Linked DNA regions of Xenopus tropicalis. The protein of the gene in region 1 purifies or fractionates together with the protein of each later gene. This does not show direct contact. Links are inferred from orthologs where the notes say so. Each region holds a gene or a part of one and is shown on either strand. Other genes may lie near its edges.

Region 1 (6,522 bases):
TTAACAACACAACTGATATTTAACATGACTGAATTGGTAAATGTTTTCCCTGGACTGGTCATAATTTTTTCATATTTAACAGTTTCTATATATTTGTGTGTGCTGACAGTCTAAGTATGTTATTTATAAACAGATGGCGGAACAGTTACAAGAGAAGTTACAATCCGAGATCAACAAATACCAACAGCTCCAGAAAGGTACGTATTATACTTCTATATCATCTCTCTCGTCTCTTGTTGGCTCTGTGCCTTTGTGCAGCAGATAATAATCATTCGTTTCTTAATTGATAAATGCATCACAATGATAGTTCTAATAGTGATGTTACTGATGTGCATGTGGAACAGAAGTAATTTGGTTGCTCTTTTGCTGAAGTATAAGAATTTTTTGGAGGGGAAAGAATATCTTTGAGATATGCGGTTTCTGTCTTAAGCAGGTGTTGAGCTGGCTCCCCTGCACAGGCCCAGAGTCTGGGGGATGGATGGCTTGGAGGTCAGTTAAAGGAGACATATTGGATAAATGGAAAAAACACTAATTTTGTAGGCAATTATGAATACTATATGGTGCTGGTTTCCCTTTGGGCTAAATTTGAATACTGTCTGCAAAAATGGCCCCTTTATTGGAGCTTCCTATCCTCTCTGTCAATGTTGACGGGTGGGCGTGTCCTAAAAGTCCCTACCAGAAGCACAGTAGGAGGGGGATAGCCAATCACAGCCCTGCAGTCATGCAAGCAAAGTCAGGCTTCAGTTCAATATCAGGTCAGCCTAGCTGGCAGGAGTGCCACTGGCTCCAGAGAATTCAGCCAGCAGGAAGTGGAACAGATGGGCGGGGTTAGTGGGGTTTGGGGGAATTTTCTCAATAAATCAGTCTGAAACACATCTTTTTTTAAGCACAATCCTTCTATTTCTAGAGGAGTATAATTCACTGGTACATTCTTAATTTTTATATGATATGTCTCGTTTAAGGTGAGATTTGGGGAGAATGTCAATTTGATATCATTGATACTGCTGGAAGCTCAGTCAGGAAAGTCAGTGTTACTTGAAATAAAACTTGCAAGATGTTTTTGGGCCCATGATTGAATGAAAGATACAGCAATATATTCATATATCTATAAGCTTGCTGTTAGCTAAGGAGGAACATTTGGAAAGTTCCAAAAGGTACACATATATAATAGGACCAGTAACAGCAAAAATCACTGTTTTAAATATAATTGAAATATAATGTACCCTGCACTGGTAGTGTTCAGAAATGATAATACAGTTTATATAAAAAATCTGCTGTCTTCCTACAGGGGCAATTTTTTTTTTATGTATGCTGGATGAACAGATATAAACTTTAAATGTTAAAAAAAATTATAAACTTTCACTTTTTGATGTTACTTGTCCTTGAATTTTTTTTTATAGCTTTTTGTGTTTTATTGGCTGGTATTATTCTGTCATGCTTCTCTTTCTTTAGAGATCAGCAATACTATGTCAGCCAGGCAGAAGCTTGAGGCTCAGTTGACTGAGAACAACATTGTCAAACAGGTGAGTTTGAGGTAGGGGGGAACATAGTTAGCAAATGAATGCCAATATGTATATGCAAGCACTTGTACAAGAGCAATATAAACTCGCCACATACCTCAGAGTTACATGACCCTTACAAAAGGACTCTGCATGCGTTCTTTTAATTATAAAGTAGGGATGCACCAAATACAGCATTTGGTTTAGGGTTTGGCCAAGATTCAGATCAGGCTAAACCGACGTGAACTGGCACATGCCTGGGTGAACTGAATGCAAATTCTTAAAATTGCGTGACTTTTTGTCATCCCACTGAGACAATACCAGTCTTTCCTAATTTAGCAAAGAAACACTTCTTGAGGGACCATAATCCAATTTGTGCAGACATCTGTAATGTACTTAAGTCAATCAGGTAACTTACAAGGGTAGGTGTGATACAGGTAATAAGCTTCAACTGATAATTTTCCTACAAGGGGAGCAAATGAGCAGGGACAAATGTATTAAATGTGTAAAAATGTGTTAATCCTAATGTTTACCTGGTCTGAATTCTACACATGAAAAATAGAAACAAAAATAATTTGTGTATATATTTAGTATAATTATTTTATTATTAATGCTAACTGCTTATTTATATTATTTGACTGCACCCATCACATACAGCATATTTATAGTTTAGAGAGAATACAGCCACATCAAGCAAAGTTATTGTTGGTGGAATCAGTTTTTGCTATTTGATATCTTACGCCTCCCCAAAAGCCATGTCAGACAAATTCTCAAACTGAATTGTTGTTGTATCACACTACACATGTTTACAATTGCACTGTATTAAAGAGTTGGTGAAGGTAGGGCTGGGCGATATACCGCTTAATACCGAATACCGGTGGTTTTTTTTAAAACTATATTCATTTTTCAGATACCGCAATACCGGGGTGTCAGGGTACTCACCCGTGCGGCCCGGTCTCGCGTGCGTCCTGTTGTCCGCGGGACGTTGCGCACGCGCATCCAGGTGCGCGTGCGTCAAAGCGCACGTACATGTCAAAGCGTGCACGTCCGTGATGCGCTGACGGCGCCGGTTCTGTGCATGCGTGGGGGGTATTTAAAGCTATCAAACGCCTCCTCCTGTGCTATGTTGTCTGCGGCCTTGCCTGGGAAACTAAGCCTGCCTGATTTACCTTACGACTTTCTGTTGCCGATCCTTCGCTTGACTGATTTTCAATACTGCAGTAATTATTTTCTAATTTATTAGGAAATGGGGTTAACACCTAATCATGCATGGAAAAAAAAAATACCGTCAAATACCGTGACACCGATATAATTTTGAAAAATACTGTAATATAAATTTTTGGTCATACCGCCCAGCTCTAGGTGAAGGTTAAGTAAAAAAGACCTCAGCTCTAACATCTCAGATCTAAGTTCCTCTACTTTATACTAGGGATGAAGCAAATCCACTATTTTGGTATCCGGCCAAACCCCAAATCCATTGAAAAGATTTGGGCAAATACCAAACTGAATCCTAATTTACATATGCAAATTAGGCCACGGAGGGGGTTAAAGAGGACTGTATGCTTTGCACATGGTCAAAAATTTTATAAATATATAAAAATAGTTTTTTTTAATCCAACCTTATGATTTTGTTATCTCAATTATGACAAATTGCGTCCTTTGTCTGCTGGAATAGTGGCACTGTGGGAAATAATAGGGTTTGTATTCAAAGGTAAAACTGCAATCTTAAGACAATAACCCATTTTATATAAGCTGCAGAAAGAGAGGGCAAAGACATTTTCTTCCTAATATTTCCATTAGGCAAATACATAATCATTTCTAAAATGGTCCTGGAAACTTTTTTTTTTTTTAAATGTATTTTCAAAATAAACAGGAACAGAAAAGAAGATTTCAGACATTAACAGTAATCATATTTGGCAATATATAGAATGTCGGGTAAATATAAAAAATAACAATATAGTGTGATTCTTAAGAATGAAATGTGTATGTGTGTTTCTATATATCTCTGTAGGAGCTGGCTTTTCTGGATGACAGTAACACTGTATATAAGCTGATTGGTCCAGTGCTGGTAAAACAGGACCTGGAAGAGGCAAAGTCTACTGTGGATAAAAGACTTCAGTACATTAATGGAGAAATGTGAGTAGTGTTTTTCTTTAGTCTGTATTGAGATTAATAACTGGTTTGTATAATGTTTGAATGTTTGTTTCTCAGCAAAAGATATGAGACCACACTTAAGGATATGGAGCAGCGTTCAGAGCAACATAGGGCATCCCTTACTAAGCTTCAACAAGATTACCAGAGGACACAAGGAAAGGGGCCAGTGAAGGCCTGAGGGGCATTCAGAATAATCTATAACCCTAGACCTGGTTTTCATTGGTCATTAATGCTCCAGGACTGTGTAACCAAAACTTTGCCCACCATTTATTTTCCTGGAATACTTTTGGCACCTCCTGCCTCTTGTGCACACTGATGCCACTTCTTGGACAGTAAGAGCTTCATTGTGGAAATACTATGTCTTGAATTGTGTTGGGTAATAAAAATGCTTTGACTCCGAGAGGACTTAATCTTATCTTTCCTGGGAGAATAGCAGAACATTGCACGTAAGAAATACACAAACCATACATATAGTTTCTGAACAAATGGAACAACTCCTGACCTATGAACAATAAGTACCAATAGAAATGTAAGAAGTGAAATTAGATACCAAGGGGCCTCCACCCAAAATAGGTTTTGTTTGTTTGTATAAGAGATTAATAATTCTAAGCAACATTCCATTATGCACTAAACAATTGAGTGGTTCAATGGTTATTTGTAAATTACATTGCTTTTAAAAGTAGTGTTTTTCTGCAGGTCTGTTAATCTTTTGGCTTTTGTTATTGAACACCATTGAATAACTGTATAAAAAAAGTTGCTTAGAGTTACATCTTCTTTTATTATGCCAAAAAGTGTTGAACCTCTTTAAGGAAGACTAATATTTTCAGCCCAATTACTACATATTAGAGAAATTACATGACTAAAATACATTTGTGTCTCCAGATCTATTAATGGACCCATGTGCTTGGTTCGTGGCACTGGATCAGAAGTGTGTAGCGCTGGCTCCTTCTGAAAGCTCAGACTCACAATGCACTAAGATTAGGTAGAGTTAACAGTGTAAAAAGTATACCATGAAATCATGACAAAATCCCTTTGTGAGCTCAGCAGCACCCACGCTGCAAGGGGGGTGGACGCCGATAATGGGTCTCTCAGCAGCTCCAGAGTATGTAGCTTAAAGAAATACAAAAACGTTAAAAATCTAGTCTTTAGGAGCTTGTTTTCCAGTGGCCATGTGATTGTACATGTGATACCTGTAAGATACACACAGTTACATTTGGAACATTAACCCCTTCAATACTATATGAAAATGTCATGAAAGTCAAATTTGGTCTGTGGAATTTAAAGGAGACATATCCTATAAAAATGATGAATGTAGCAGTCAATTATACTTCTAGATATAGAATTCTCTGGATGTGCAGGGCTCTCAGTACACTGCACTGTAGGACAGGAACCAATCAGCAGCTAGGCTGACCTGATAGGGAACTGAAGCCTGTCTTTGCTTGTGTGAGTGCAAGGCTGTGATTGGCTATCCCCTTCCTACTGTGCTTCTGGCAGGGACTGTTAGAACACTCCCACCCTTCATTTCAAAAATGGACGGAGGACTGATAGGATCTATAGGGAGCTCCAATAAAAGGGCCATTTTTACAGATAGGACTAATTTTTAGCACAAAGTGAAACCGGCACCATATATTATTCATAATTGCCTACAAAATTAGAGGTTTTCCATTTATCCAATATGTTTCCTTTAAAATCAATGTTGCTGAAATGCTGCATCAAGAAATATTGTAGTGCCACTTCTTTAGTTGACTTCTTTAGCCCAACTTTGGATGTGTTCGTAGCCATGAGGGCTTCCCCAGCTATTCCTGTAATCCAGCATTTCTTGACAGCTTATTTATGGCTTATATGTGCTAACATTAATCAGTGCATTTACTGTGCTGAATGCTTCATTCTAATATATAGAATCAGGGCTGAACATTTTTATTAAAATAACAAACACGCCGTATGAAAAAGGTAGTTTATATGCAGAATTTCTAAGTACAGTTACAATAAACATAAATATATCAACATCACAGATGTTTTATACAGGTGTATGTACAATAAAATGCACTCTTCCATCATCATACAAATATAATAGTGTTCTACCAATAGTGTATATGGAACGCAGCAGCACAATGACAATATACAGTCTGATGTCACTTCCGGCACATGTGTAACACGGGTTTATTGCATCATTCCCTTTTGACAGGCACTAGAGGTTCCCATTAGTATGACTTGGCACATGAGATCATTTAGCATTGTATGCCATAGTGTACTGGAGCATCTTGTTGGGCGATAAAAGTGTGATGTCTGCTTGTGACATGTCATTGGTAAAGTCAGTAACACAGGATCCTGTTGTGTTTAGATTTCAATATAAGATTTTTTCCTGTATATTTTTAATTCCTCTTTACTTTGGGAGCAGATGAATCTCATGGTGAGCTTTAGAAAAGTGCTCTTGCAAGGTCTCCTGCCTTTGCTTTGACCTTAGGGATTGTGGCACTGATGAGCATTTTAGCGGGTGCCTGGGTGTCTGTAGAAGATGCTGAACTTACAGTCTTACGGGGACGGAGAAGAAAATCCAAGCTTGCAGAGCTCATGGCATAGAAAACATTTGCTTTCTCTGGAATAACCAATTCTGATGAGACAAATAATATAACTGTTATTGTACAAACTCAGTAACAGAGTCTCGGTAACACCAGAATATTAATTTCATGACATTACCATATGCTGTAGCTGTGTCATTAAAGGAAAAAGGACCAATCCATGAAGGAGGAAAATTTATGCTGCAGGAGCAGATAAATTATTTTTGCATGGACCAAAACAAATTGGTTCACTATGTGGCAATATGGAAAAATAAAACCTATGTGGGATCTACAAGTGTTTTATATGTCTA
Region 2 (8,240 bases), on another chromosome or scaffold:
AAAAAGTACAATTGTGTCAGACTATATGGTGAGATTAATGTAACACATCTGAGTTGAATGGGAACTCATTAAAAAGTTTTAAGCATAATGTTTATTGTGGATCTGGAGTAAAAACACACATAACTTATTTATAAGCAGGCCTTATATTACATGTGCTTGCCCCTATGTAGATGATATTACATATTGATTATGTTTCATAATTCTGCTTTCTTACATAACTAAAGGGCTATTATTTTCTCCTACATTCAATGTTTTGCTTTTTCATAAAGGAGGAGGAAAGTGTAAATCACTTGAGGATTCCAAATGTTAGGCACCCCCAAATTATTGAAATCACTTTATTGTTACCCCTGGCCAGGGCTCCAGCCCAGGGTACTTCTGAGCAAAGTACATTTGGCACCCCCAAGTGATTTACACTTTCTTTTCCTTCTCCTTTAAAGCGAAGACTATACCATACATGTTTTGAAATGACAAACCCCTTCCATTAATCAAAATACTGTGTACAATGAGAACTGAAGAAATGTGTTTTTTTTAAATATTCTTTAATAAGTTTAGCATATCTAGCTTAAAGGAGAAGGAAAGGCTAATGAAGAGTTAATCCCAAGCTGCAGGCATACCTTCAGTTGTCTCAATAGTGCCCTTAAGTCTCCCCATACTTCACCCGTTCAGAAGATCAGAAGCCAAACAGAAAAAAACCCCGCTGAACTGGGTAGAGAAGATTCCCATAATGCATCACTCCTTCAAGACTTGGCGACTTGTTACTGCAGGCGGCGCATACGCACAGGGCAGGAGCGTCCGGTTGCCATGGCAATGCAGCTTCGCCGAACAGGTGGGGGAAGCGGGGGGGCAGGTGCTGCGAGCGGTGGAGAGTTTGTGGCAGGAGCAGGGGGGGTTTTTGAAGCTTGGGGGGGTTTGAGGCAAGAGCGGGGAGCTGCAGAATCTTTGTGACAGGAGCGGGGAGCTGGCTTGTGCTTTTCAGCCCATACAGACACGCTGGACAAGATGGCTGCGCCGTTCACTGAAACAAGTATGTAAGTTCTAGTATGTGTATCTCTGTAAATCTTTCATTAGGCAAGCCAGGAATATAGTGTTTTTACACAGCAATAGTAGTACTATTTAATAGTGTGCTTAATAGATTTTGACTTTCCTTCTCCTTTAAAGGCGGGGCAGGCAATAACTTTCACTTTCCATTCTGCACTTCCTTGATGTCACCACACTTCTTACATTCCCCCTCCCTCCTCACTGTCGATAATTGTGTATCATGGGCATTAGGTGCCCCATTCTGGCAAACAGGATTTTGTGATGATGCAAAGCTTGTAACAGTGTTCACATAATGGCACCTGCCTGCTTGTTGTGATTAACTGCAACAAGCAGAATATGCAATGATAACATGGGTGTATGCATTCTATAAAGAGGCACAGCTATGGGATCTCTTATCTAGGAACCCAGTATCCATAAAGGCATCTCCCATAGTCTATTTTAAGGAAATAATGCTAACTTTCATTATTTCCTCCTCCCCTGTAACAATAAAGCAGTACCTTGTACTTGATAGAAACTAGGGCCGCCATCAAAAACTTTGGGGCCTAGATATTTATATGGGTCCCCTCGTGAACAATAGGGCACAGTACAACATTTTTGGAGTTGGCAGCTTACTTCCTGTGTATGGGCCCTCCCAAATGGCCTATCTGGTACATGGCCAAGTATTAGCCAGATAGTTATAGGGTAGGTTAAAGGAACAGTAACACCAAAAAATGAAAGAGCTTTAAAGTAATAAAAATATAATGCACTGTTGCCCTGCACTGGTAAAACTGGTGTGTTTGCTACAGTAACACTACTATAGTTTATATATTAAGCTGCTGTGTAGCCCCGGGGGCAGCCATTCAAGCTGGAAAAAAGGAGAAAAGGCACAGGTTACATAGCAGATAACAGACAAGTTCTGTAGAATACAATAGTGTTTTATCTGTTATCTGCTATGTGCCTGTGCCTTTTCTCCTTCAAATGGCTGCCTCCATGGCTACATAGCAGCTTATTTATATAAATTATAGTAGACTTTCTGAAGTAAACACACAACTTTTACCAGTGCAGGGTAGCAGCACATTATATTTTAGTTACTTTTATACACTTTCATTTTTTGGTGTTACTGTTCCTTTAAAGACAATGTTCCCTCCAAGCTATGCTCTTGTGCACATGCACACAAATTTTGAGGCCAGCGCACACAATTGTGGTACACACAAGGAATTTTGTGTAAAAACACATAATATTGTACTGAGCACACAAGTCTTTTAAAGGAGAACTAAACCCTAAAAATGAATATGGCTAGAAATGCCATATATTGTATAATAAAATGACTGCACTGGCTTAAAGTTTCAGCATTGCTATAGTAGTAATGACAAAAGTCTTTACAGTTGTCACAGGAGCTCCCCATCTTGGATTCTGTTAGAACTGTCCGGGACGGCGCACATGCTCAGTTGGCTCTGAGCAGCTAAGCTTAGGGATTGTTGCAAAATATCAAGCAGAAAATGAGTGTTGTCTTTCATATAAACTGATGCTACAGGGCTAATTATTCAATTTTGATGCAATTGCCCTGGTTTCAGATCTGTCATGTAATGTAAATGAATTACTAATCAGCCTTTCACTGTTACATTTATATTCTGTATATACAGTATATTGTGAGTGGGTCCCTAAGCTCAAGTAAGTGACTGCAACACAGAGCATGTGCAGGGAATCAGCAGAAAAGAAGATGGGGGGGGGGCTACTGGAGGGCATCTTTGGGGGCACAGATCTTCCCTGCAAAAGGGCTGTTTGTGCCTTGGGCTGGTACAGAAACCCATAACATAATTCACAAAATTTCAGCCCTACTTCTTTGTTAAAAAGTGTGCACAAAAGAAATTATTTGTGTACCCTGCCAAGAAGAAATTGGTTTAAGGGCACTGCTGTATGGGGCAGATTCTGCAGTTAACTTGCAGGCCGAGAATCTGCTGTGTGGCAGTGCCCTAAAAATCCCACTGGCATGTTGATGAGGCCTACATGGGTGCCAATTATGTTTATGGCCCTAGGGAAAAAGTGGCTGTTTAGTTCAAAACTAGACAGGTGTCAACCCCCAAGTGCACTGACAAGTGATTCCTGTGTTAGTCCATTCAGTGGTCATCTTTAGTGTTTTACCAGCTGCTAGGGCTGTCCAGTGCAGCCGTAAGCACCAGACTTCTGACCTCGCCCCCCTCGTATACAGCTACACTTTTTTTCTTTTTAATATAGGCACCCCTAGCGCTGCCCTACATAAATATGGCCCATGCACCCATGAGCTAAATCATGCACAGGGGATCTTGTCTGAGCAAGATCACCTTCAGGCTGGGCTTTTAGAACTATCTCCCAAAATAAGAAATATTTCTTTAACGTTGCCCCATTTTCAGCCATGATTTCAATTTATGGCGTTTGTAACTGCTTACAAAATACAGTCTAATTCAAGATTCCAGAAACATATGGGATAAACAGTCTAGAAACTCATAACAATCCTATTGGGTGCGAATCGAATTACAACCCTTCCCCATATATTTCTACATATAACTCCCCAGCCACTGTGTCACTGCCGGTTTAACACGTTGTGTGTAAATCACGCACACATATTTGTTTATATGTTACATCACACGTTACACCCTTGGTTCACTCTACACAAAACATAACTTCTGTGGCAAAACAAACTACTAGCAACCATGGCTCAAATATCTTTAAACAGTAAGAGCTCTCGCTGCTAAGCCACAACTCAACCAATCCTCCAGCAACTATACGCTGGGCGTTTCCCAAGAACGCCCACCAATGCGCCCAGCTTCACCTTAGCAGCTGCCAATTGGAATTGCCAGTAAAGCACCAAGAGCCAATCACAAGGCTGCTTGCGATGACGGCGGTATAGCGTATGGTTTCCTCGCCGCCGCGTTGCGCATGTGCCCGGCTTTAATATGGCTACCCCTGTGGATCTAGAGCTGAAGAAGGTAATAATAATTGTATTTCATTTATACTAATGATTTTTATCATGTACGTGTTTTCATGTAAGTGTATGTTTATATAAGAATTCAGATGCTGGTGAATTCACGGTGCCTGCAGGATGAATGTGCTTTTGGCTGGAGTGCGGCCAGGCAGCTAGTGCATACGCTCGGTGGAATGCGAATGTAGTCGTTTTTGTATTTCTAGTAGGGAACTGTATTTGTAGTAAAGAATTTTGATATCATTTGATTTGTGTGTGTGTATATATATATATATATATATATATATATATATATATATATATATATATATATATATATATATACATATATATACATATACATATACATATACATACACACACATACATACATACATACATACTCACACTCTATAAACCCATAGTTCTATAAACGAACACTTGTTTTTTTCCAAATACATAAAGAAGGGAAATTTAATAAAGTATATTTACTATTAATGTAAGATTCATCCTTTTGGAAGGCACTATCTCCCAGTGCATTGTTTATTTGCAATTAAAACAGTCTTTAGAACGCAAAAACATTGCTGTTAAATCTTTGCTTACACCTAAAATTTGGGGGCTTAAGTGTTTAGTAAGATTGGAGATAAATATCACTGGTGATGTTGCCCATAGCAACCAATCAGATATTTGATTTTCATTTCTAACTTGTAGGTGACTGTTCAAATCTAATTCCTGATTGGTTGCTATGGGCAACATAGCCAGTGATATTTATCTCCAATCTTACTAAACATGCCCCTGTGTCCTACATCTGTGGTTTGCTTGACAGACTTTTTCAGTTCAAGCCCACCTTGGAGCCCAGTTAGTTCATAACAAGGTGTATGGAAATGTTGTATCAGCTATTCAGGAAGGGCTCCCGGAATACCCATTTTCACACCAAATTTCTCTCTAACTGAGCTTCTCGCTGGGTTTTTAGAAAAATAGGCCCTCAAGTGGGCCATACAGGGGCCCATTCAGACCAAGTTGACAACATATCAGCCTGTTTATGAGTAATGTGAGACTGCTTGACTGACATTTGCAAAGGATGCACTTTTACAAGCAGAGTAGTTTAAAAACTGGATAGTTTCTAAAATATTAAAAATATTACCTGCTTACACAATCTTGGGTGAAACTCAGATGTAGAGATTGGCAGTGGCTAGAAAGCATTAGCGAGGACAGCACTTAGATACAAATTGTTTAAAACCATGTTTTGTATTGCAGGCTTTCACAGAGCTTCAAGCCAAAGTTATTGATACCCAGCAGAAAGTTAAACTTGCAGATCTACAAATTGAGCAGCTAAATAGAACAAAGAAGCATGCATATCTTACCAATGCAGAAATTATGAACCTGTCTGATTCAACGCCTATGTATGAAGGAGTAGGAAGAATGTAAGTAATGCTGTTTTGCTTTAATCATACAGTCATGCATTAACTTGTCTTTTTAAGTGTAAATTGTAAAGAAAAGTAGACCTTCGGCCCACTCTCCCCTTCTCTGTTCACTCAATTTCTTTAATCTCTTAATTACGCAGTTTTACATAATATTATCTATCCTTTCCTCCATTTCTTCAGTTTCTTTTCATATAGGATTGAGTAATGGCCATGGTATACGCATACAAGGCAAATGGTTGGGTGAGCAGGAGGGCCCACTGACACTTGGGCCACCGGGAGTTTTCCTTGTATCCTGGTGGGCCAGTCAGACACTGCACAGACCTACCGATCCCTTCGAGGGCCAAAAGACAGAAAAAATACAAGGGACCATATACTCTATGGATGCCTTTCTGTTGTTCCTTGTATTCATAGGGAATGAAGGGAACAGTTCCTCATCTTCCATACACAGGCTGTAATGGGTTCTTAGCAGGTTACATATTTATACCCACCCAAATGACAAACCAATCAAAGTACATGGATATAGGCTGCCACGCACATACTGAAAATCGTTAACTGTGTTCCTATGTAATCCCCATTTGACTGTGCCAATGACTGTATTTATAGACTGGCTATTGTTAAAAACCAAGAACTTTTTGGTTTTCTTACATAACCATTGCTGTGGAGAATAGAAAGTACTTATTCATAGGCGAATGATTCAATATTAACACATTTCTAAAGGTGGAAAGCATTAAAGGCCAAAAAAAATGCATTAGTATTTCAGATGCTTTAAATGTTCCGTATGCCTTTAGAACAGAAAGTCTACATTTAGGAGGGCGTTATAGTCACTAGTATAAGTGGAACTTTATAGTTTAGGTAATCCATTGATCTCAGGGAACATGCTTATCTGCAGCTGGGAAGTCCATATATATTAAAATTTAGTTGAATGCGCTTGAATGCACTTGTGCAATAGCCCTCTACAGAGGGTTCTGAACAGCAACTTCATTGGAATAGGCCATACATAGGCAGATTTAAGTCAAGCACCAGCCTAGGGCACAGAACTCTTTTGTTTGTCTGTTTCCCCTTACTTCGGGCCCCAGTTGACTGGGAGAACTGCCAGAAGTCAGAGAGAGCAGCCGCTATTTTGCACTCGCTCGGGGGGGGAGTGGGTGCAGTATAGCCGTCGCTTACTCTTCCAGTCAGTGTGCGCTCGTTACAGGAGGGGTGGGCACGGAGCAGTGCGAGCTGGGGGGGGGGGGGGGCAAAGTTCTAAATTCGCCTGTCATTGATTTAAGCTCCTCAGTCAGTCCCTTCAGACCGATTTGGCAGCTTATCTGCTTGTATATGGTGCCCTCATATGGGCCAACCTGACCGATATGTGGCAGAAAATCGGGAAGTTTTTGATCGGGCTAGGTTTGAGTTTCCCATCGAATTGAGGAATGCGTTGGCTTGTTAATGTTTCTTGTCGCAACGGCCTGTCCCCGTCATTTTGATGCACTCATTTAGCTCTAGGGGCCTAGGGCCAAACAATTGGATCAGGCCAATATTGCCCACCTTAGGTAAGCATATCAGAGAAAGATCTTCTTATTTGGCAACCTCACCAAATGAGTGAATATTATGATGTATGGCCACATTAAGTTGACATGCATATATAGACTTCTTCACTTAAGAGAAGGAGCAGGAGAAAGTAACAACAAAGTCTCGTGGTTCCGTCAGCGGCCTACACAGATCCCAGCTAGACACCTGAGCAGTAAGGGTTGTGGGACTAAAAAGTCATACAAGGTGCATTTTCAGGAGACCCCCCTATTTACCCACATATCTAATTAAATATATAAGTTGCTTTCTCCCAGCTTCTGATGTGATGCATGACGCACACCCAGTTACCCCCAAAATCTAGGTGAGTGCTGGGGTGCTGTTCGATATGACTCCTTGACACCAACCCCCCATTTCCTCAGCAGCACAAGAGTTTTTCCTGTCTATACTGGCTGCTATGGAGCTCCACTGCTTGTTGAAGAGGCCATTTGGAACAACTTGCTCAAACTTGACTGCCTTGTGGGTTAACGGAACAGTTCAGTGTAAAATTGGGTAAAATGGATAGACTGCATAAAATAAAAAATAGTTGGGCAAAAATTTAATCTATAAAGGCTGTAGTGAGCAGATGTCTAACATAATAGCCAGAACTCTTCTTCCTGCTCTTAGCTTTAGGGGGGCCACATGGGGCATAAATGTTTGTGATCACACAGGTCAGATTCAAACTAACTGAACTGTTACGTCCCATATGCCCCCCCCTCAAGTCATTGATTGGTTACTGACTGCTAACAGCTTAGAAAGTTGTAAGGGAGGAAGTAGTGCTATGGTCATTAAATTAGACATCTGCCCACTCCAGCCCTTATAGATTACATTTTTGCCTAACTAATTATATTGAAAACATTTTGTTATCTTGCACAGTCTATCTATTTTGCCCATTTTGATTTTACCCTGAACTGCCCCTTAGGGGCTGTCTGGGTGTATGGGAGAGGAGAAATGGTGGCAAGGGTGAGAACATAGGAGATGGAAAAAGGCAAAGGGAACTGTTGATAGGGCAGAAGGAGAGAATGGCATGTGGCAATGCTTGGGACATTGTGTTTCCTGATAAGGAGTCTTTACCTACTGTCCCCCTTAAGGGCTATGGTACACAGGGCGATATGACATCCCACCGGCGAAAAGGTAAATCGCTGGTGGGATGGCATACGCGGCGACGTGATTTGCAGAAACTGTTGAAGTACAGTATGCCATCCCACCGGCGATTTACCGTATATACTCGAGTATAAGCCGAGATTTTCAGCCCTAAAAAAGAGCATACGGTAGATGCTTATGTAACGCTGCCCTAGTGCCGCACTCGCCAA
Region 3 (8,477 bases), on another chromosome or scaffold:
ATAAATGTGCTCACCCTTGTAACAATCTGGCCCAGGTGCAAACTACCAGAGCCCATAGCTTAAAGAGGGCAAAAAAACTAAACAACGGACTAAACACGTTAATATAAAAAAGAAGTATCCATTTTTATTTTTCTACCTTTCTGGTCAAATGTAAATTAAAAAGTCTTGTCCCACCCCTTTTGCATACTTCCAATTCAATGCTCCTTTCGCTAGGTCTCAGGTCCCGCTGGCGCTTTCCAGAAGCTAGACTGCATCTACTTAGACAGGACTGGGAGGGCAGACATGGGAAGCCCTCTTGCTGATGTCATTTTGGCACCCATGTCCGTCCCACCCTAACTGTCCTTCCTGTTGTTTCCGCATGCTGATCACCTTCCACCTGCCAGCCTTCCTCAAGTCCTACATGGCCCACCCTAAGCCCTGATTGTTGTCCTTGCTGCCTTTGACAGCCAATGACTTAAAGGAACAGTAACACCAAAAAATGAAAGTGTATAAAAGTAACTAAAATATAATGTGCTGCTGCCCTGCACTGGTAAAAGCTGTGTGTTTACTTCAGAAAGTCTTCTATAATTTATATAAATAAGCTGCTGTGTAGCCATGGGGGCAGCCATTCAAAGGAGAAAAGGCACAGGCACTTAGCAGATAACAGATAAAACACTATTGTATTCTACAGAACTTATCGGTTATCTGCTATGTAACCTGTGCCTTTTTTCCAGCTTGAATGGCTGCCCCCATGGCTACACAGCAGCTTATTATATAAATTATAGTAGTGTTACTGTAGCAAACACACCAATTTTACCAGTGCAGGGCAACAGTGCATTATATTTGTATTACTTTAAAGCTCTTTTATTTTTTGGTGTTACTGTTCCTTTAATTAAAAAACCCATACAGTAATAGGGGATCATCTTGTTAATAAAATATGCAGAGTGTTTATTGGTGACTTCTAATATCCTCATTTTTTAATAGAGGGCGCATTTATTATAATACACAAGTTCCAGTGAGTCATGTTACAAATTACATTGCTAAGCACTGTTTATAAGGATATATTTTGCAGGATATTCATGGCTCTTGTGTGATATATATCTGTGTCTATCGTGTGTTTTATTTCACAGCCTATATGTTCTGTCAGTCTGTGGTTTTAATTACTTGATTTCTTCAGCCCTTTAGTTCTTGGCAACCTATGGGACGTCACTGACCGTGAGATTGACCGCTATACCGTAGCATTTTTACAAAGTTGGCTCAAGGCAGGATCTGGAGCTCCTCTCTTGAAATACCTGTCAGAATCCCGCCAAGCTCCCAAGCTGAAATACATCATTGGTGCAGCTCCTGTAGCTTATGGCTTACCAGTGGCCCTGCGATAGCATCATTGTCATGTGGGACTATATTTTTACATATTATATTTATACCTTTTACAGAATGAAAGCCATGTAGTTTTTTTAATAAGATGAGTGTCCATAGTTTGGCTTTTCTGCCAGCTGAGGGCAGAGTTATGATATTTATTCCTTGGCTTACTTATAAACATACTAGTTCTTGCCAGATCTTGCCCTCTTTGATTTACCGACTAGCAGCAGTGGTTTTAGCCAATTTGCTATTCAAATATGTATAAATATGTCAATGTTTATAAGTAGGGTTGCCCATATCTTTTGGCACAGAGTCATTTCTAATAAAGGGTGTATATACAGCTGTTCTCAGGTTAAATGATTTTATTCCTACAGAGTTGTACTCTCTTTTAAGAGTGAATATTTAACATATATTTATTGCATAAGGGAAACTATTGAGTAATATAAATGTGTAATAAAGTTTGGAGTGTTTTTATGTTGGTGGGTTTTTTTTTTTTTTGTTTTTGCATCTGGCTTTTTCTGTCTCCAATTTCTCACGCCCCAACCCGGGGAACCGGCAAGAGGGCGGTCCTCTTCCTTTGTCTGTCTTCCCGCCACTTACACATGCGCAGTATGAAAAGCCAAAAAAAGCTTTTCCACTGTTTATTCGCAGCTACCCCAGACTGTTGCAGTTTTCACCAACCCAGGGTATTACAATTACTATGGGGTGCCTAAAATTTTGGCACCCCTCTGTGATTTTACCTTTCCTTCTCTTTAACAGCAGGTCAGTGGCTCATAAAGGCAACATCACCAGTTGCCATATTTGCCCTGTTAGTTTTATGGTAAGCCATTTCTGCACAGTGAAGGAGTCGTGCCTATGACACCTCATCCAAATATTTTGTCTAGTACCTTAATCTCTGAGCCATTAAACAATTGATTGTGCAAAATTCTCAATAAACACCTTTTACCCTTGAAAGGGATGCTTCACCTTTAAGTTAACTTTTAGTATGTTATAGAATGTACTATTCCGAGTACCTTTGCAGTTGGTCTGCATGTAGATTTCTGGAGTGGTGCTTCAAAAAACTGCTGGGAGTCTTCATAAAACTATACATATTAATGGGCACTTTGATACTTAAGAACTGTAAAATGCAAATCTATTGGCCGTACATGTAAAGAACTTTTACTGATATCCCCCAACTTAAGGTAGGCGATATAGAGCTGATCCTTGGGCCAAATCATCTAATCACAATGCAGTACAAACAGGGCGTTGGGGCAAGGACTGCATTAACGAGTTGGTGTTCCCTGCCCTGATGGGATTATTAAACCTGCCCAATCGAGAGCTGGCTGATTTTCGTCCAGATGTCGTTTGGAGGGTCCCATACACAGGCCAATAAGCTGCAGATATATCGCAGATGTATGACCACCATAAGGGATGATATGGAGCCATGTGGCTGAGGGGGAATTCTGTTTGTAGATGTAGCTGCAGCAAAGTACTTTATTTCCCATTGAGAGGGGTGTGAGTCTAGCAGGTGAAATGCTATCATGGTGCCTGTGGGGAGACCAAAGAATATCTCTGGCAGAAGTACTGGTGAAGAGAGCAGTATTATTAATAACATTTATTTATTAAGTGCCAACATATTCTACATATTCTACAATCAGTATTTTGAAGCATGTCAACTCTGAAAAGGAGATGCAAAAAGAAATGCAATGCTGCCCCCATGTGGAAGGCAGTTTAGAACATGTCCTATGAACTTTCACTGCAATAGATGCCTTTTAAGAAGAGGATTTAACACAAATTAATATGCTATGCAACATTCCAGTAACCCACAGATACTTCTAGGGTCATACCGAAGCCCATCAATAAAGCTAAGAAAGGTAACCTTAGACTGGCAGAAATACTTGTATTAAAAGCAGTCAAATCAATCCCGTAATGTTGGACAGCAACACAACCCCCATCAAAGCAATTACGAGAACATAAGCTTCTACATACTGTGCAACTTCAGTGGGTCTTAGCTCTTCAAGATTAATAATCAAGAGGATCACTGTTCTATAGCGTTTGGAACAAATACCTAGACACATTTGTCAATGGGAAAACAACACAAACAATTAGCCCCATTCGGGTTTACTAAATGTTGGGTGGAAAACTCTCTTTTGGAATAACTAAATCCACCAACTAACCAAACAAATTCTGCTCCCTCCTCCTCACTTGCCTAAAGACCAAAAAGGCATTACTTTGTATTTATTTTTATGTATTTTTTAAGAAATGCAACACTGTCTGGGACTGATGACACTACAACAGCAAGTCAAGTTAAAGTATTTTTTTTGTGACTACATTTTGCATTGTCCTGATGACTTGCTTTTGCCTGTAGAACTTTAATGTGTACTATTTTCATGTATGAGCATTCATATTATGGCTAATCTTTCTTTGTACACAAGAATGTGTGATACATGACTGCAAAATGTAAATTTTTAGTGAATTTCAAAATTTCTTAAAAAACAGTGCTTAACCTACTGCATAGATTCTTAAAATATTATATTGTTATGGGGGGGTCTCTCTTCTTCCGTTTCCTACTGTTTGTTTCCTACTCTATATGTTCCTCTATTCTTTCTTCTCTATTGATTGTTGAAATACCATGTTACTGGTAGAAATGAGGTAGTTTAATGTAACAATAGCATTTTGTGTACTTTTGCACTTATTCCTCTCTTTGCAAAATAAGAAAAAGAAAATCTAAAAAAAATATATATATATTTCTGCGATTTGACTTATTTATAAATATCATGTTAGCAAGCGGACCATCTGCCAAGTACACGGTCCCTTACATGTTAGTACGCATGCGTCGCAGCCTCCGGACTATCATAGAGCGCTAGCCGTGCGTACAGAGCGCCAAACAATATACGGTTTCCCAGCTAGACAGTCACTATAGTAATGTAGTAGGAAGGCGGGGTTCTTCCTCTCTCAAGATGGCGCAGACAGTGAACATTACCGACTTGTCTCTGCCGCAGTTGGAGGGATTGAAAAGTCAGTTGGACCAGGTATCTTAGTTAATCTTACATTGCCGTCTTAAATTGGGGATGCCTCTGTGTTGGTTTTTCCCCACGACTAAACGTAGTGTCCCACAACTGGCTTGGATGAGTTCTGGCCACCCCGTGGCTGTGGATCCCTTACTCCCAGAGTCCCACTGCAGCTTTTGCTGTCCCGCCCCAGCCTGGTGTTGCTCATACTCCGGGGTTACAGGGTTAGTAAGGCCTTCCTTATGTGCCTTTTCCTTTCATAGGAAGTGGAGTTCCTGTCCTCCTCCATCGCTCAGCTAAAGGTGGTTCAGACCAAGTATGTGGAGGCAAAGGAGTGCCTGAGTGTGCTGAACAAAAGCAATGAAGGTGAGTGACAGCGGCAGCCAGTTAGTAGGGTGTGTCAGTCGGCTTAGTTCCTCTCTCTAATAACCTGTATGTGTTTATCTGACAGGGAAGCAACTGCTTGTTCCCCTGACCAGCTCTGTATCCTTTTCATCACTATATTATGAAAAAGCCATATGGTGGCAAAACCAGTGAGCTGCTTCCAGTTTTAAAGTATGTTCTCTTCTATTTGTTTATTATATTATTAATGTAAGGAACGTTGTAAGTCTGTAGCAAGCTAAGTGTCAAAAATCTACTAAACAGTAATGCATTTTTATCCAAAGTTTAAACACTAAATGGCTAAACTGCTTAGGTGACTGCTTAAAAGAGTGTGATGATGGTTGTTATAGTGTAGGAAAAACATGTCAAGAATAGCAGCACGGTGTGTTTTTCCTGGGTACTTGGACAAAAATGTACTGTATACAGTCAGTCAGGCTATACAAAATATAGACCAATTGAAAAGTTGCTAATATTATAGGCCATTGTACAATGTACCAAAAGTTATCTTAAAGGTGAACTCCCCTTTTAATGAGCAAAAAAAAATAGAAAACCAGTATTTGCACAACAGTGTTTAAAGAAGAACAGTAGGTGTGTGGGTTTTTTCCCCCTTAACCTTTCATGTAGATGTATGTGCCTGGGACTCTTAATGATGTGTCAAATATACTGATCGATGTGGGTACTGGATATTATGTGGAAAAGGTGAGCTACTTTTTTGTTTGTTTTTTAGCTTAAGGTGTGACTGTGATGAGCAACCTACTGTTAACATTTTCTTGCGCAAAAGTTTGTTAGTATATTTCTAACTATACATAACACATTATTGCTACTCTTCAAACCATCTGGTGTGACAAACAGATTTAATTTTTATTGGTTGAATTAAAAGCAACTGGTTTATTTTTATTTTTTAAAATTTAGCGTGTTCTGGAACATGCACAGGTTATTCTCGCAGTTAAGATTGGCAGAACTTGTGCAAGTTTTGCCCAAGAGACCATTGGCTAGACCAGTAGGAAAGCGAAAAGCAGCAATAGGGAAATTTGACTACTTGTGTAAAGCTGCTGTACATATGCATAAGCCCTGTATAGGTAAATAATAATCCACACTTGCTTACTTAGTTGCCCTTTAATATCATACCACAATACATTCACAACAATGTAGCCATATCACTTCTAGAGGTAATTTGGTGCTGATATCACTCAGAGAAATTTACCTCTAGAAGTGATGGCACTTATTATAACTGAAAAAATAACTTGAAGCACTTATATTTATTATATATTATATATATTAGTGAACCTGGGCCTATGTGCTTTTACCCCAGAAAAAGTATTTTTTTGTTAAACTGTCTGCTTGCAAAGTGGGAGACTTAGGCAGCTGCAGTTCTCTGCAAGGAATTTGTTAGGCCTACAGCAGAGGATGTTAAGCTAAGCAATTTAACAGCAGTGTGCTTTGTAACCACTATATATATATATATATATATATTATATAATATATACATATTTTGGTTTCAGAGTACCAAGATAAGATGTTATTTTATTTTTAAAGGTGGCCATACATGTAGCAATTCCGATCTTTCCTGCGACCATGAGTTGCAGGAAAGATCGTTCGTTTCCCCCACTGACATTCAGAGTCATCGGATGTGAAGGTAGAAACAATAGGAATTCTACCTCCACCTGCCGGTTCAGCCCTGAACGCAGGTTTTGTTCGGGCGCCTTCAATGGCGCCCAGTCAAAATCTTTTAACCCGGCTGAGCGATGAGACAACCGATATCCGCAGCCTTTGCAATAACGGTCATCTTGTCGATCTGCCATACACGCACCAAATATCATACAAAACGAGGTTTTGTACAGTATCATCAGTGCGTGTATGGCCATCTTTACTCAGTCAAAATATAATGAATGCAGTGCACTTTAAGCTGACAGGATCTGTAGGTATCTGTTTCTGATAAATGTATCACTGGGCACTTGTAGTGTAAGTTTTTAATATAAGGAGATTCATGAATTCGGAAAGATATATGGTATGATTAAAGCTTAGTTAATTTTGAAGGCATATTGTGATTATTTGCCTTTACAGGGCACATATACCCACTGGTATAACTTAGGGCTGAACTTCACATGAGATTTTGTAGAATGGTGTTGGTTTGACAGATCGCATCCTGTCGAATGTAGTTGCATGGTTAAAAAATAATGGGACTGATAGAAAAATCTGATGTGTAAACTATATGAAAGCTTTGCCATCAGATGCAATGTGCCTTTTGGTAGTCGACTTTGCCTGCTGTGTCTTCATACAACCAGACAAAATCTCATAGTGTCTGAAAGAGATTTTTTCTCATTAAAATACATGTCTGATATAGACACGGAAACAGGATCATACAAAACATTGTGCTTGTTGCGTGACAAGATTTTGTGGGTCACACAAAATCTGACCCAAAAATTCTCATCAAAATCTCCTGTGTAGTTTAGCCCTTAAAAGGGCACTTCATCCAAAAATATTTTTTTACACAGTAAAGGAAATTATTATTCTAAGCAACTTTACAATATACATTCTTGAAGAATTTATTGGTTTTAAGTGTTTGTAGTCATAATTGCAGTTGAAAGCAGCATTTGCCTGGCTGTTTACTTTTTCTGCACTCCTGGCTCTGACTCCTGACACAATATTGCAAACCAGCTGATTGAAAGACCTGGGGTAGATATGGTTCATGTTACATCATTTTAAGAACTAGACACAAAGAACAGAAAGGGATCATTTCAGCAAATAATATTTACTAATAACCCTATAAATAATGAAATTGTTGATGAATGTAAATTGGAATGCTGATTAATATATTCTAAGTAGAAGTCTTAGAGCCAATTGTAACAGATTATATTCCCCTATAGTAAGCGAAAATTTCCTGCCATGATGCATAGGAAGGATTAACACTGATCTGTAATGATTTTCGGCATTTTGTTGTTTAGACCTTTCCAGAGAGAATGTGAGGATGCAGAAGCTGACAAATTGCTTTACTATAAGAACTGTAAAATAATTTACCTTGAGTTCAGTCTTTGTATTCCATCTATATATGTGTCTCTGTTAGACTGTAGAGGATGCCAAGGACTTTTTCAAGCGGAAGGTTGAATTCCTAACTAAGCAGATTGAGAAGATTCAGCCAGCCTTGCAAGAAAAGCATGCCATGAAGCAAGGTGAGAAACGAAATTCATAAATACAAATATCTATATAAAACTAGTAATCAAAAAAAAAATGTGGACCCTCTCCATCACACATGCCACCTTAAAACATCTGGTGGTGTTACAGCCTGATGAGCGCAAGTGTTTACTAAGCCCTCTCCTTGCAGCTACTGGCTCCCCTAACCCCCTTAATATTTGGCTGCTGCTTTCTGTGAGGATGAATTTGCTAATGAGACTTTTACCAAATGAATTAAATTTCAATTTATAGCACCATCTTACTTGCATCTAAAGCAGTGCCCCCCCCCAACTGTGCTGTTTAATCTGAGCTGCCAGCAGCTAGAGCCCGCAGCACAGTGGCTACTGTGACCGAGCTAAATTGGCAGCTGCTATCTTAAACAGAGGGAGCTTTTAGGGCTGTTTACTTAGGTATGGTAAGGCTTTCTACAGATTAAATGTAGTGTTCTAGCTTGCAGTATTGTGACTAATCTATTGGGAATAAAATGTCTTTCCTTCTCCTTTAAATACAAATATAGCCATTTTCTGTGAATTGAACCTTGTTAATATATTCTGTGTTTGGTTGAAAGCATTTAAACAGCAATCATAAATGATAAAA
Region 4 (8,438 bases), on another chromosome or scaffold:
ATAAAACATTACCTTGTACTTGATCCCAACTAAGATATAATTACCCTTTATTAGAGGCAAAACAATCCTACTGGGTTATTGGGTTAATTCAATATTTAAATGGTTTTTAGCAAACTTAAGTTATGGAGATCTAAATTATGGAAAGATCCCTTATTCGGAAAACCCCAAGTCCCAAGCGTTCTGGATAACAGGTCCCATACCTGTAGTACATAAGAGGGGCATGCACTGCTTCCAACCCCAAAATTGTACAGGAGCAGCCATTGGCTAAAACCTCATCTAACACATATATATATTTTTAATTACAATCACAAATTATAAAAAAAAATAACCAGGCTTTAAATAAAGTGAGGCACAGATGTTGTTTACTTATTAGCTGGAACATAGACCAGTTGTCTTCCCTCCCATTTGGTTCCGTGAATTTTATTTTGCCTTAACCCCTTCACTGCTAAGGTTCTGCACACCTGACGACTGCTGCTCCTATTTTACTTCAAATTACAAGAGTACCAGGGCTGTATTATACAGAGGATTAAGAATTCCTTGTATGTATGGAGGTTGGGGTTGTTTTCTCTGGAAAAGAGGCGCTTGCGAGGGGACATGATTACTCTGTACAAGTACATTAGAGGGGATTACAGGCAGATAGGGGGGGTTCTTTTTTCCCATAAAAACAAATCAACGCACCAGAGGCCACCCCTTTAGATTAGAGGAACAGAGCTTCCATTTGAAGCAGCGTAGGGGGTTCCTCACGGGGAGGGCAGTGAGGTTGGGGAATGCCCTTCCTAGTGATGCTGTAATGGCAGATTCTGTTAGTGCCTATAAGAGGGGCCTGGATGACTTCTTGAACAATCAGAATATCCAAGGCTATTGTGATACTAATATCTACAGTTAGTATTAGTGGTTGTATACATAGTTTATGTATGTGAGTGTATAGATTGGTAAGTATAGGTTGTGGGTGTTGGGTTTACTTGGATGGGTTGAACTTGATGGACTCTGGTCTTTTTACAACCCTATGTAACTATGTATGTGTAAATACCCCAACAAATTATGTTACTTCCTTCTAAAGTTCCCTGAAAGTTGGGCCATAGCCCTCCTGTTATGTTATAATTTCCTTGCAAGCAGGTACCAGGAGAAATAGCATAGCAGTCCATGGAATATACTGTGTCTAACCTATATAAATGTAAGGAAGGTATTGGCTACCCCCAGGTCTTGCCACAAACCAAAAGAACAGTGCTGATGGGTGCCATGTAGAGAATACAACTACTGGTTCCGGTGAGGGTGTGTCACATTTCAATTCTTGAAACAATCGAACATGATGACAGTATCCCTTCCTTCATTCTAACAGACAAGGACTAATTATAGTTAACTGCTGATTGGCTGATGAAGAATACGACACCAGTGGAAACTTTCCCCTTTTCTCTGAGCTTATATGGAAACTTTGCATCAAAGAGGCTATAAAAGCAGCCATTTGTGCGTTTTCTGCTGACCTCTGGCAATGGAAAGGTGCTTCAAATGGGAAAACAAAATCTCGAAAATAACAATGAGAAGAAAAGCGCAGTAATTGTCATTTTATGCACACATCTGCATCACCCGGCGCCTCCCTGTGATAGAACCGCATTAACAATCATTACTGCCACGATTCCTCATTTATGGAAGGAACCCATTTCAGGCTAATTGGTCCTTCAACGCCTTTACAAAGGGGACTGCTGTAATTTAAGTGCGGAGCAGATGGATAAGTGGGACTGCGCTTTTATCCGCGTACGCATTTGAAGCTGGAATGAAAAGGATATATAAAAATATTGCTGGGAGTTGAACGTTTCTCAGTGTTTTCATTTCGGTGTTATTGCTGGTTGTATATATTCTATATTTAATTTGCTTCCCTGTGCTTCTCTGCTGCTGCCACCAACAGGAGGAAAGTGGTACTGCATGTTGCATAGGTATATTGGAACTAGAGAAACATCTGAATTAACCAGACATGGTGTTGCTTAAGCCAAGTAACACTTCCCCTTTAATAAAAGCAAAGATCTCGCTGTTGTATTACCTTTTTTACTTCGATTTCATCTTTCAGCTCTGTGACCCGGTTTGTATTTCTTGCGAAGATGTTGATTTTTTGTTGGTCCTCGAATGTAACGTTTACATCTTCCGCAACCTGGAACGCAAACAGGACAAGTCATTACCCTCCAGACAGGGGAGGCGCTACTCAGGACTGTAGGAAACCTATGGTTCTGGTGCCTACGCACAAAGGCCTTTTTTTCTCTGTATGTATCAGTGTGAGGATCTACTGACAGTCTGTGTATTGATAACTGCCATAGAGACTATTCCATTTATTTATAAAATTAGCATTAGCGATGACTTAAGTGACGAGAGCAAAGGATTCTGCCTCATTAAGGAGTTTTCCTCATTAACGAAAATTATATTAATCATATTCATTTAGCGGGAGCAAATTACTGATGTTACTGTAACCAGCTGACCTCTCAGGACATCATTAAAAAGGCAAATTGCTACAGGTTATTTTGCTGCTTGTCACTGTCTCAATCAATTGACTTTTTTCCTTTATTTTTTCCCCACAATGGAAATTAAGGATAGGATCTCAATGCTGGCAAAACCTCAGTCACTAGAGCAACTATATGAACTGCTGCCTCACCAGGGCCAGATTCTAAACTGGGCAACCCGAGGCCACACCACCCCCCGGCAACTTGATAGGCCTTGTCCCCCATAAGCACGTGTGCGCACCCACCCACTGTTTTGTTTTATTTTGTGCCGCCCTGGGCCTAGGTCTTTGTGGCCTCACAAATGCTGATCTGTCTCTCAATACAGGGCAAGCTTCTATAGAATTAAATATATATAATAATGTGAACCAAATCATAATGCACTGCTGGCCTTTGAGTCATAGCCACAGGATTACTAAAGTGGGGTAACTTTGGGGAATATACAATCATTCACATCGCAGCCAGCACCCCTGTAGAGTTAATTTAATTTCCAAGCACAGGAACAGACACACCCAATGGGCAGGTATAGTGAGACAGTAAGGGGAGCTGGCAATAAGCATGGCATTGCCGTGTTCCTGGTCTCATTAATATTCCACTTATGATGCTGATTTTGAGTGCTGCCAGTTTGGGTTCCTTCCAGTTGGGTATTGGTTTCCAGCTCAGGTCAGTGCTTGAGATCTAATAACCAGGGTCTTTCTGACCAGTGGCAGAAACGAATTAAAACACAATCAGCAGGGCAGCAAAGGAGGTAGGCCTGTCAATTTTTATATAACTGTGGATACTTGTAACCGTAACTCGCTGTATAATCCCAGCCCCAACAATGTGAGCCATTCCCACATCATTTGTCTCACACCCCCTTCCCCTTTTAGACTGGAAGCTCTCTAACTCCTATTTCAGCCAGCATTTCTATATAATCTGTATTAGTGGTGGGTGGGTCACATAAGCTATGATCATACCTGTTATTAATAATGAATACACCTGCCAGCATGAAAGCCCCCATGCCCTGTTTATGCCCACAGCAGAGAACCCCAGGGGGCAGGACACAGAGGGTCCACATGAATAAAACAAGGCAATTAAATCATTCCCCCTGGCAAATGATACTCACATTTCTATTCTCTTAGGCCTGAAACCATTACTCCTATTATTCACAGAGCTGATTAGTCCTACAACTCCAAGCACTGACCAGCAACTCTAGTAAATATCTGCAGTTAAACTGGAAATAAAAATAATAAATAGAAATAAAGGTATGAGATGATCCCTTATCCGGAAACCCATTATCCAGAAAGCCCCGGATTACGGAAAGCCCGTCTCCCATAGACTCCATTTTCATCAAATAATTCAGAATTTTAAAACTGATTTCCTTTTTCTCTGTAATAATAAAACAGTACCTTGTAATTAATCCCAACTAAGATATAATTACCCCTTATTGGGGGCAGAACAGCCCTATTGGGTTTATTTAATGGTTAAATGATTCCCTTTTCTCTGTAATAATAAAACAGTACCTGTACTTGATCCCAACTAAGATATAATTACCCCTTATTGGGGGCAGAACAGTCCTATTGGGTTTATTTAATGGTTAAATGATTCCCTTTTCTCTGTAATAATAAAACAGTACCTGTACTTGATCCCAACTAAGATATAATTACCCCTTATTGGGGGCAGAACAGCCCTATTGGGTTTATTTCATGGTTAAATGATTCCCTTTTCTCTGTAATAATAAAACAGTACCTGTACTTGATCCCAACTAAGATATAATTCATCCTTATTGGGGGCAAAACAATCCCATTAGGTTTAATTAATGTTTAATTGATTTTTAGTAGACTTAAGGTATGGAGATCCAATGTACGACCCCTTATCCGGAATACCCTTGGTCCTGAGCATTCTGGATAATGGGTCCTATACCTGTACAATTCTACCTACACACTACAATTACAGCTCAAGCGCTCAGGGTTGTATCAGTGACTTACTGGACAGACTATGAAGGCCCAAACTATATGTGACTGAGGATCTGCTGTTGGGAAGGTTTAATAGAATCCTGACAGACATGATGGCCTAACAGAAGTACACAGGCCCTTATAATAATTACTGGCCCAAGGATCAAACCATTAAAGAAGCCTATAGGGGTGGCCTAATCAGGCAGAGCTATATCTGTACTGCAGACTAAGAGAGTTGGCCGTTTGACACATGCCCAGTGTAAGGCTGGCCCCTCACCCCTAATAATCCCCCTGTGAATAGCTCATTTGGCATGGCAACACAGAAAGCAGCACAGTCTGCAGCACATCCCTTAATTATTTCTTTACAGAATGTATCCTATTACACCCCAATCATTTGCCTAATGCCCCCTATTCTCCCATGGCGATTTCCCCCCATCCAGCACCACCTTTGTATCGCACCCAGTTACCGATATTCCCTGTAACACCCCCAAATTCCCCCACGCCCGCCGCAACATGCAGCATTACCGCTTTCTTCATGGTGGCCGCCATCTTGGGATAGAACCAACTACCGGGCGGGGGGAGGAGCGTAACGCAACCTGCTCTTACTTAATAAAGCTAACCAGTGAAAAAGAAGTACCGGGTCAGAGAACGATCGCACAATCAAGCCTTAAATTCGTGGCGCTTGCAATATCACAACACATAACGATTGTAATACGGTCATCTGCATTTTACGCAATGGTACAGTCCAACTTACGCAGAATCCAACTTGACAGCGAGAGCAGGAAGTGTGCGACGCGCTAAATGGCCACTAGATGGTGCAAGAGGATGGGATCCTGAGTGACTGGCGTGATAAACTGGGCGAAGTGCTTAGTATCAGTTATTGAACTGTTCTCCGGGTGTTATAGTACAGGTATAGGACCCGTTATCCAGAATGCTCGGGACCAAGGGTATTCCGGATAAGGGGTCTTTCTGTAATTTGGATCTCCATGCCTTAAGTCTACTAAAGAATCAATAAAACATTAATTAAACCCTATGGGATTGTTTTTCATCCAATAATGATTATTTATATCTTAGCTGGGATCAGTTACAAAGTACTGTTTTATTACTACAGAGAAAAAGGAAATCAGTTTTAAAATTCTGAATTATTTGATTGAAATGGAGTCTATAGGCGACGGTCTTTCCGTAATTCGGAGCTTTCTGGATAACGGGTTTCCGGATAAGGGATCCCATACCTGTACTACAAAAACCAACGTGCAAAATATTGTGTAGCATCATTGTATATGGTTTATCTTATCAAGTTTAATGTCTGTACTATAAGGACAATTGCCCCCTCCATATGTCACGATCTTCATCGGGACATTTGGCCAGTGGACTGGGGGGGGGGGTGAATTTTGGTTGTAACTTGTAATTATTGGCCGGCATGTTGGTCTGAGTTCTGTTAATTCTCTTTTGTGAAGTTTTTAATAAAAACACATAAAAACCCTGAGTCTGCAGCCTTGTGCCTTTATATGGTCACAGAACCCCTCAGTGACTGCTAATATCCTTATCATTTACAGTAGGGGGTACATTATCCCTTATAATACATGAGTGATACTCAGAGTTCCCTGTATAACTCAGCCTGCAGCCTTGTGCCTTTATATGGGCACAGAACCCCTCAGTGACTTCTAATATCCTTATCATTTACAGTAGGGGGTACATTATCCCTTATAATACATGAGTGATACTCAGAGTTCCCTGTATAACTCAGCCTGCAGTGTTGTACCTTTATATGGTCACAGAACCCCTCAGTGACTTCTAATATCCTTATCATTTACACTAGGGGGGTACATTATTCCTAGATCATATACTTGATCATATTTTCTGCTTGATTATAACAATATAGCTTAGAGTAAAACAATATTATTGACTTCATTCTGGAATCACTTTCCCTGATATTAAACTTTCCTGCCCCTCTGTGCTCATCATGCACAGTATTGGAACATCAGACATGTAACATTGTACAGCAGTCATTTTTTTCTGTTGCCAGGGATGAAGAAATCCAGACTTTACGAGAAATCCATTTGTGGTGCTTAATCGCCTGTATGAGAAATGTTCCAGAAAGGTCAGTCTATGAGACCCCCAGACACTGAGGGAATTTGAGGGGAATGAAATTACCACACACTTGTTGTTGTTTTTTTTGTTTCCATTAGACTAAAGGAAAAGTAAAGTGTTTTATAAGTAATAGAGGTAAAGGGTAATTGACATTTATAAGTTTATTTTTCTTATCTTCTTATCCTTTCTGGTTACATGGGGGGGGGGGTGTATTTACTAGTACTCTTCTTCCTCCCTGATGCAAAAATACTGCAGCACAGTCTTGCTTAATGGCAGGGAGTCTAGACACAGTTGTGCCTGCTTCATGGTGCCCAACACCACTCATGGGTGTTAAGGTGCTATGTGGGGTGGTCGGAGTCCCCTGGGTGCATCTGGGCAGTCAGCTAGACTGCAGCAACTTGTATGGAAATGATTAGAGCTTGGGATCATTTGGACATAACGAACATGGCAGGGGGTACATATGGGACCCCATGATTTTTGCAGGAAGCCCTGCTCGCTGGGGTGGGAGCACCCATGAACTACATTTGTCTTCAGAACCTGTAACATCTGCCCCAAACTGCAAGATAGGGATTTCCAGAGTCCTTATCATTTTAGACAATCATTTCCGTATGATTATTAATTGCCGTAGTAGAAATGCCCTGTACTTTCCAGGCCAAGGCAGGTGGGGTATTGCCAGTGTGTTCGGTCTCCTTGTCTACAAAATACAATGTATTATGTTTCCAGAAACCTCTTAATCAAGAAAAAACTGATCTATATGTGTCTGTGTGTATCTATGTGTGTGTCTGTGTGTATCTATGTGTGTGTCTGTGTGTCACTGCGTGTGTATATGTCAGTGTGCCTCCCAACCCTGGGCAATTACAGGGAAATCATAGGCTGGAAATCACCTTTTATTCCATGAGTCTATCATTAAATTAAACCATAAATATTCAAAGGCAAGCAATACCATCCACCCTATTGTCTACAGACAGTATTTCCCTACTCTCACCAGCTTTCCCTACTGTCTCCACCTCACTCTACTGTCTCCATCTTACTCTACTGTCTCCATCTTACTCTACTGTCTCCATCTTACTCTACTGTCTCCATCTTACTCTACTGTCTCCACCTCACTCTACTGTCTTCATTTTACTCTATTGTCTCCTTCTTACTCTCCATATTGCCTTTGTCTTCACCTTGTTCTGCTGTCTCCACCTTGTCTTACTGTCTTTATCTTACCCCTCTGTCTCCACCTTCCCAGTTACTGGGCACCCTTGGTAGTTGGCCCTTCCAGAAAGTAGAGTGTTGCGCCAATGAAAAAATATGGCCCTTAAAGTGATACTGACACGAAAAAATGACTTTTCAAATTATGAATGTACATAAAAAGTTCCCTTTAGGTCATGTTGATCTTTTTTCACTGTTAGGGCTGGTTTTCTATGTAATTGTTGCTTGAAGTTCCTAAACCTGACTGTTTTGCCAACCTGACTGTCCCTTCTCAGCCTGTTACAGCTTCTAATGCTATCTACTGCTGCACAAATATGGCCGCCCCCTCATAGAAGAACATGGAGGATCAGATAGGGAATGGAAAAGCATCAGCAAATACTTTTATGGCAAAATTATAAAGCTCATGCAAAGTCAGTGTTATGATAGATGTAAAAATGGTTTCATTTCTGGTGTCAGTATCTCTTTAATGTAAAAACCCTGCTCATGATCCACCCAAATGCCACCCTCTCCCCCACAATCCCCACCCCCATTGTGGCATGGAATTTGTATCGTTTGTGTCTCTTGGGGCCCACTCTACAACAAAGATTCTAATCAGAGTTCCTTTTATACACCCTGATGTCAGATCTACTACGCACACTGCCATCTCTTTCAAGTCTCTTTTTAATAGCATTTTGCCTTACAATACACTTTATCCTACATATATTGCCCCTGCTCCAGACATATCTGCCTTACT

What was found.
Region 2: the proteins of pfdn6 (region 1) and pfdn1 purify together in Homo sapiens (affinity purification with mass spectrometry; 6 studies listed by BioGRID and IntAct, with this or other methods). This does not show direct contact. The link is inferred for Xenopus tropicalis from reciprocal best matches to the Homo sapiens genes PFDN6 and PFDN1.
Region 3: the proteins of pfdn6 (region 1) and pfdn5 purify together in Homo sapiens (affinity purification with mass spectrometry; 5 studies listed by BioGRID and IntAct, with this or other methods). This does not show direct contact. The link is inferred for Xenopus tropicalis from reciprocal best matches to the Homo sapiens genes PFDN6 and PFDN5.
Region 4: the proteins of pfdn6 (region 1) and pfdn4 purify together in Homo sapiens (affinity purification with mass spectrometry; 6 studies listed by BioGRID and IntAct, counting the BioPlex papers as one, with this or other methods). This does not show direct contact. The link is inferred for Xenopus tropicalis from reciprocal best matches to the Homo sapiens genes PFDN6 and PFDN4.

The regions. Positions count from the first base shown.
Region 1 is NC_030684.2:72,107,133-72,113,654, forward strand, and holds the end of pfdn6 (prefoldin subunit 6), read left to right. Parts: intron 1-133; coding exon 134-197; intron 198-1,452; coding exon 1,453-1,523; intron 1,524-3,510; coding exon 3,511-3,635; intron 3,636-3,710; coding exon 3,711-3,831; 3' UTR 3,832-4,053; downstream 4,054-6,522. Other genes in the region: rgl2 (ral guanine nucleotide dissociation stimulator-like 2), read right to left, coding at 6,071-6,264. UniProt on the Homo sapiens protein: Binds specifically to cytosolic chaperonin (c-CPN) and transfers target proteins to it. Binds to nascent polypeptide chain and promotes folding in an environment in which there are many competing pathways for nonnative proteins.
Region 2 is NC_030679.2:31,785,646-31,793,885, forward strand, and holds the start of pfdn1 (prefoldin subunit 1), read left to right. Parts: upstream 1-3,853; 5' UTR 3,854-3,950; coding exon 3,951-3,983; intron 3,984-5,212; coding exon 5,213-5,379; intron 5,380-8,240. UniProt on the Homo sapiens protein: Binds specifically to cytosolic chaperonin (c-CPN) and transfers target proteins to it. Binds to nascent polypeptide chain and promotes folding in an environment in which there are many competing pathways for nonnative proteins.
Region 3 is NC_030678.2:147,136,382-147,144,858, reverse strand, and holds the start of pfdn5 (prefoldin subunit 5), read left to right. Parts: upstream 1-4,256; 5' UTR 4,257-4,277; coding exon 4,278-4,349; intron 4,350-4,591; coding exon 4,592-4,694; intron 4,695-4,779; coding exon 4,780-4,811; intron 4,812-5,333; coding exon 5,334-5,408; intron 5,409-7,773; coding exon 7,774-7,879; intron 7,880-8,477. Other genes in the region: espl1 (separin), read left to right, coding at 1,157-1,358. UniProt on the Homo sapiens protein: Binds specifically to cytosolic chaperonin (c-CPN) and transfers target proteins to it. Binds to nascent polypeptide chain and promotes folding in an environment in which there are many competing pathways for nonnative proteins.
Region 4 is NC_030686.2:34,364,843-34,373,280, forward strand, and holds the start of pfdn4 (prefoldin subunit 4), read right to left. Parts: upstream 4,959-8,438; 5' UTR 4,955-4,958; coding exon 4,943-4,954; intron 2,144-4,942; coding exon 2,036-2,143; intron 1-2,035. UniProt on the Homo sapiens protein: Binds specifically to cytosolic chaperonin (c-CPN) and transfers target proteins to it. Binds to nascent polypeptide chain and promotes folding in an environment in which there are many competing pathways for nonnative proteins.